Linked DNA regions of Mytilus edulis. The protein of the gene in region 1 purifies or fractionates together with the protein of each later gene. This does not show direct contact. Links are inferred from orthologs where the notes say so. Each region holds a gene or a part of one and is shown on either strand. Other genes may lie near its edges.

What was found. The genes of interacting proteins can lie anywhere in the genome.
Region 2: the proteins of AP-2 complex subunit alpha-2-like (region 1) and protein numb-like purify together in Drosophila melanogaster (affinity purification with western blotting; 5 studies listed by BioGRID). This does not show direct contact. The link is inferred for Mytilus edulis from reciprocal best matches to the Drosophila melanogaster genes AP-2alpha and numb.

The regions. Positions count from the first base shown.
Region 1 is NC_092350.1:91,494,855-91,498,616, forward strand, and holds the start of AP-2 complex subunit alpha-2-like, read left to right. Parts: upstream 1-1,131; 5' UTR 1,132-1,269; intron 1,270-3,762. UniProt on the Drosophila melanogaster protein: Adaptins are components of the adapter complexes which link clathrin to receptors in coated vesicles. Clathrin-associated protein complexes are believed to interact with the cytoplasmic tails of membrane proteins, leading to their selection and concentration.
Region 2 is NC_092346.1:36,947,140-36,950,901, reverse strand, and holds the start of protein numb-like, read right to left. Parts: upstream 2,999-3,762; 5' UTR 2,682-2,998; intron 694-2,681; 5' UTR 678-693; coding exon 549-677; intron 1-548.

The DNA of each region.
Region 1 (3,762 bases):
TCCCACGCGGTTTAAAAACCCCATATCTATTGTTTCAGTCATTGATAAATCGTCAAGACTTGTATTACAAAAAGTGGATTTTTTGTTAAAACTGCATATATTTTCACTGATTTTATTAGTTAATGTGTTTGATTCATTTTTAAATAATATACGCTTTTTTTTAATTTCTTGTCACGGTACTGTGTAAATACAAGTTGTCTCTCGTTTGAATTTTTATTTCCTTTTTATTTTAGCCTAACATATATAAATATTTTTTAACAAGGTAAGTTATTTGTTAGGCTAATTTTATTATGTTTAATGTCGTGACACTGTCGCACTGAATATTATAGGGTGGAAACAAGAAGAAGGACGGGTATATTATATATTAATAATGTTATCTTTTTTCATATTCACGTAAAAAGACAAACACTAACGTAACGGTACCCAAATTACAACGAGTACCCAAATTGCACCTATTTAGCAAAAATAGCAGCGGAAATCTTACAAGATCTCCTAGAGACTAAACAATTTGTGTTTTTATGATTTGATACTGTGCTTGTCTTTCAAAATATGTAAAAATATTTAGATATGCACAAAACATTCACAGTATTTATCAACAGATGAAGTGTTTACGTCATCGCAACGTCATCTTTTTAAAATTAGCAAATACAATATGTTACAAGTATCCATTTCTTGAAAAAAGAAGAGTAAGCAACGACAAATATCCAATTGTTCAAAATATTTGTAAAAAAATAAACAAAAGCTTTGTTATTCGACTTTTGAAGATGCGAATTTAACTTGCATGGATGCAATTTGGGTACTCCTCATTACAGAATCATTGATGGTTTGGAGGTTAGTTCAGACCAATTTTTCTATGATTCCATATGAATTGAAAATCAAATTGGTGTACCTATATGATAAAGAAGGATACGGCTACAAAATAAACACAAAATAGAAATTTTTGTCTTGATCATAAAAAAACGTAGTTGAAAAAAACTGTCAAAATAGGTGCAATTTATTCTTCATTCCTGATTTGTATTATTCATTTAGACGAAAGTAAATTCGATTTATATGTATTACAGAATTATTTTTTTTGTGACGAAAGAATATAGTGTCGACCGATTTAAGGACGAAAGCAGATAAATTTGGTGGGTGTCTTCACAGCCTCGACTTGACGTTAGACATGCAAATGGCGGACATGTTTCGCCGATGATACTCCTATTGAATGAGTTTTCAGTATAAAAACCTTTACAACAGATATTAACGATATATTACATCAAATATAAGAAGGTATTATTTGTATTATACAAAAATAGCATGCAAACTATACACCAAACCTTGAAAAAATAAATAAACATACATTATTCCCAATTCTTACGAGTACATAATTTTTAATATCTGTCATAATCTGACAGAAAAAAACCAGTAGAAGTAAAATGTTCATTCATCAGTACTATATAACGAGTCAACTACCATGTTTTTTTTCTGCTATCAATATTTCATGTTTGATAAACATACTGCTGGTTTCCGGTATATTTGTATTTTGATTAACCTGATCATGGTATCGCTGATAAAACGCCTACTTTCTACACTTCTAAAGACTAAAGGTAAACGAAGATATGGGATATACAACAACAAGACGGCAACCTAACAGCAAAGGCAGGGGGCATTTGTCCAAATCTGACATCAAAACTACTGGAATCTTGAGACCATGCTAGATCTACACTCAGCATGCACAGTATTTGTATCGTGTTTTTCACCATCTAAATTGTAAGGGATCAGTGTTTTCTCACTAAAGTAATATGCCCACCTAATCATTATGCTAATGTTTTGATAAAAATATATTTCAGCTGTTAATTCAAAAATGCATCAAATTTTAATTGTACAGTTCTTTAGCATGTTTAGCAATAGCATTGTTAAGTCTCTATGATTTTTAATATTATATTTGTCTGTATACACCTTATCGCTATTTGTCCGCCATTACTGGATATCACACAGGTTCCCGTAAAATTTTGACGTCATAAAACAAAATATTTGACGCCACAATGGAAAAGTGATTGTTGTATGCGTCAAAAGTTGAAGCGGCCAGGTCAGCCGGGATTAGCGATAAGGTGTATTTGGATCACGCCTCTATTGTGCTCTTTCCAATAAGATATTGAATTGAATTGAACTATGAAAACTCAATTTTACTTATAAATTCTCAATTTCACAATCATTTCTTAAATGGTTGTGAAAATCAATCAAACAAATAGGTCATCTGTGTTTTTAATCCAAGTGCATTATTCATCATTGTTCATGCGCAATGACTAATCACATATATAATTTACAAGCAACAAAGTAAGGAAATGTTGAAAAAAAATATATATACATGTATACAAAAAGCTTGCGTCAAACTTTTCCATTGCAATTTATTCAAGATACAGGCATGACTATGATCATGATGATGCAGGGAACATTCAGAAAAAAAAGAAACTTTTTTTGCTTTCCATTGTTTCCCAAATTACATTTTCTTCCTTCGATGTGGACGTCATGATCATCATGTTTTTATACGACCGCAAAATTTGAAAAATTTTTCGTCGTATATTGCTATCACGTTGGCGTCGTCGTCGTCGTCCGAATACTTTTAGTTTTCGCACTCTAACTTTAGTAAAAGTGAATGGAAATCTATGAAATTTTAACACAAGGTTTATGACCACAAAAGGAAGGTTGGTATTGATTTTGGAAGTTTTAGTCCCAACATTTTAGGAATTAGGGGCCAAAAAGGGCCCAAATAAGCATTTTCTTGGTTTTCGCACTATAACTTTAGTTTAAGTTAATAGAAATCTATGAAATTTTGACACAAGGTTTATGACCACAAAAGAACGGTTGGGATTGATTTTGGGAGTTTTGGTTTCAACAGTTTCAGTGATCGGGAAGGTCGTGCGCCCTGTGCCTATAGCGCATATCGACCAGAAATGGCGCATAGAGTGACTTATGTAAGCGCCCACGTGGCGCACGATATTTTTCACTTCGTTTCGATACGTTTAGATATTGTCAAATGGATTTCCGATCGTGTTCCGTGCCGCCATGTGTGTGTACAAAACTGTGTAATGTTCCTCCAATGATAGGAGCACCTATATATTTTTGGGACGTCTCGTGTTTTTTCCTATGGAAATAATAGAACCATGGGGTGTAACTGATAACCCAACAAACGTAATTAACCATCATTCATGATATGATTTTTTACAACCTTAAACTTGTAAAATTTGGCTAGTACAGACGAGATTTGTCTCTAATTATTATCTTTTAACTTAGTTCAGCTTGCTACTATTTCGATTGAAAAACCCCAAAGCCTTTTTATGAATATAGTTTTTGTCTCCATAAAAGGAGACTAACTGTCCTTGTCACTTTTTGGTCTTTGGCTTGTTTTGACATTTTGTAAACATGCCTTCAGCGCATTGTTGTTTTGTTTTATCAATTAATGATACTCTCTACTGTTATTGTTGTCATCGTGATGAAGTAATAAATATACAAGAAGTGCAGAGGAAATGCCAAATACGTCCTCTAATACGGAACGTCGGGAATAAGTATGGTATCGACGAAGACCCAAATTTAATGTAAAAAACCCATGCACATGAACAAGACAACAGTAGCAGTAGAAACATTGTAAATAAAGGATATCTTAAATATTATCTGGTTTGGAAGAAATTATTTTACATTCTTTGTTGAATTGAAATAACAAAATCACAGGCACAATATCTATTATATTATTTAAAATCATAAAGGTAAGTACCACCATCTCTT
Region 2 (3,762 bases), on another chromosome or scaffold:
CTCGTAATACTTGTGTTGCATACAATTGTACCAAAACATTTAATTGATTTTATGACGACTACAAACCATTGCTTAGAAAGCAAAATAAATGTGGTGTAGGTATACTAGTAGTCTAACTGAAGACTGAAGAGAAATGCTGTCTACTATAAATAGGTTTCTAAAGCGGCAATTGCATGTATAACAGTGGTTGCCAATCAGGGATTTTTATTTAAGAGTTTGAAAAATAGTGTAGGATTCCTTATACAGCATGTATATACATTATACAAGCTTGTTTCCCACTAGCATATACCCCGCGGTATGAAAAACTCATGACGATGATTTCATATGAAATAAAATTTAAAAAATAAAATCCACCCGCCCCATTTTTTTCAAAAATTTGGATGAAAATCTTCTAATTAATTTTAGTTGGCCTTAATATCAATGCATGCACATCAAAATTGATGGCAAAGAATCAACAACATGTTAAAACAGTGACTTTTACAACATAAATTGGTTTATATAACTTAGATAAACCTATAAATTCAGAAAAATCAACATGAAATATTTACCCGCACTTGAAAACTACATGTTCCATCTCTAACTTTTTTCTCATCTTCTTGCCACTGATGTGGTTTTGAGCATTCTGGTACATGGTCTTTCTTTTTCCGAAAACTCAGTCTTTTCTTTAATCTTTCCATTACTGCAACTATTTTTCTAACAAATATTAATAATAATACTTTATTCCGAAAGCAATACAGCTTACATGTATAGGATACATACAGGGGTCGAAATTAGCGGCTCGGTGGTCCAGGACCAGTAGAATGTGCCTCGGACCTGAAGATTTTGTCAGCTGGTGGTCTTGTGGACCAGTAGAAATTTGTCGATAAAAATCACTGATTGCATCGCAATCTCTGTTTGTTTACAAAACAATTTATCTGTGAAATCAATTACACGGTACTCGGGGGGACAGGGGTATTACAATTGAGCAAGTTAATTAATATCTCGGGTGAGCGTCCTTCACAACAATAAGAAATTTTTGGAAGGAGTTAAACCGCTGGACAAAATAAATAAAACAAGTGAAAATCAAAAGGAAGATCAAAATAAAGTATATGAAATTAACAAAAGGAAACGCAAATACCAAATATCATGGGAAAAAGAATTATATTTATATTAGTGTTTGTCAAATGAATGTCATTTTAGCAGGACCAGTAGATTTGGAGCCGGACCAGCAGAGTTTTCAGTCCACTGGTCCGGCTGGCCAGTACACAAAAAAGATTAAATACGACCCCTGGATACATATACACAATTTTACACCAATATAGGAATTTTATAAGAGATCCATAACATATATAAATATAAAGGTGTGCATGAAAGAACATATAATACATAATACAAAATATGAGCGGAAAATGATATAATACTTAAATAAAGTGAGAACAAAAATATTTTTTACTGCAATTAAATTCCAAGTTTTTCTACAGACACCTGCACTAAGCTTGTAATGTCAAGCATATCAATTTATGTCAAATAAGTACTTATATAATTTGTGATGTTGACATTAGGGAAAGGCACAATGAGATCAAAGGCAAGGATTTTATTGCAACGCATATTGTTGTGTAAAATGTGCATTTTCTTTAGTTTTTTTCAATTTAAATAAATTAGTTTAGGTTGCACTTTGAAAATACAGCTGTTTCACAAACCACACTACTTTTGTGGAGATATATAATATTCATAGATATTTTATTTTGTTTACCTACTGGTTCACAGATATGATCTCTATGTTACATATTATAGAGACTTAACTTGGAAATGTTACATATATAGAATCACATGAATTGCAAGCAATTTGAAATCTGTGGAAGACCCATCCTTAAGGAAGGGTAGAACAGACTTTGACTTTAAAGTTTAAACTCCTGTAATTCGTGTCATATAAATATTAAAAATATGCTGCATAGCCCTATATTTTGACCTTTTAAAAAACTGTAGTGCATATAACCTATTCATTCTAATATATATTTTTTACGAAACTTCAATGAAAAACTGGTACGTAACAGCTGCAGTTCCTAAGGAAAATTGTTTTGTCCATATTTACAGAATTGCAACCTATAAACGTTACTGGCGAAAGGGATAAAAAATGGTCTACTGATATAAATTTAAAGCTAGTCTTTGACCACAAGAACTTAAAATCCATTCAACCACTGACATCAAATTTCTTTTACACATTTTTTGACAGATTTTGCTGCACCATGTGCACTGTCACAAGATACTGATCTAAAAATGCAACTTTTGATTCCAGACAATGATAAAGTGCCAACAAAATGTTTGACTATCAGGGTCATCCCTTATTAGAAAATGAAAAAATTCACTTAAAATTCTTAATTCACATTTATACCTATAAATACTTACACTTCAGTGTGATGGGACAAAAATTAGGTCATCAATAAATATGTATGAGTAATTAGGAGTTTTACATGATTACTCATATTGATTGACAACTTGGACATTCATAAAGCTGGTGTTGCTGTGAACACCTATAAATTATTGATTGGGGATAACCAAATGATGAGGAATAAAAAAATGTCTGCACCAACTTGTTAAAAATTTATGTCAATTTTATGGCAGCCATGTTTGTTTTCGTTTTAAACTCAAAGTGCAACAGTTTACATTTTATTTGAAAAATATGAGAATGTAAGGAAGCTTACCTTCAAGTTAAATTTATGCTGAAATTTTTTTATGTATTAGACTGCCTGATTTGTATACAAAGTGATTTAAAAGTTTGTGTACTGTAAAATTATCATTTTCATGAATGAACCACTGAGACAAGTGTCAATTTTCAACAATTTCACAGATGTTCTGGTCACATATCCACGGTTAAGATTGTTGTCCGTTTATCTAAAATTTCCAATTAAAGAAATTAAGCCTCCTAAGACAAATTTTATCATAAAAGAAGGTGTAAGAAGTTCCTAATTAGCGTGGGTAAATTTGTATTATCGAAACGGAAGTGGACTGATCCTTGGAGCAATGCAGTACGCATGTGTCATCGGAAATACCTTTCTAAGTAATAAAGGCGGGAAATATGAACTCGATTGAAAAAGAACAAGAGTTCACACACTGAAATATCTCGCCTTCTTAACTAATCATTGATATTATGTTGATAGTCCTAAGTATAAAGCTTTATTAGAACGGTCACATAAACTTAACATTAACCAAGATAGCTAAACAAAGACCAATGAACCATGAAAATGAGGTCAAGGTCAGATGAACCATGCCAGGCAGAAATGTACAGCTAACAAAGCTTCTATACAACAAATATAGTTGACCTATTACTTAAGAAAAATAGACCGAAACACAAAAACTTAACACTGTGCAATGACAGGGGCGGATGCAGGAATTTTCGAAAGGGGGGGGGGGGGGGGGGGGGGGGGTGCTAACCCAGGGCACCCAGGGCAAAGGGGGGGGGGGGGGTGCAAAACATATGTCCCGATACAAATGCATTGATCGGCAAAAATAAAGGGGGGGTGCGCACCCCCGGAACCCCCCCCCCCCCCCCTGGATCCGCCACTGAATGAACCGTGCAATTGAGGTCATGGTCAAATAAAACCTGCGGGACTGACATATAGATCATAATATATTTCCATACACTAAATATAGTTGACCTTTGGCATATAATATTAGATAAAAAGACCAAAACTTAAAAACTTAACTTTGACCACTGAACCATGAAAATGAGGTCAAGGTCAGATGACATCTGCCCGCTAGACATGTACACCTTACAATCATTCC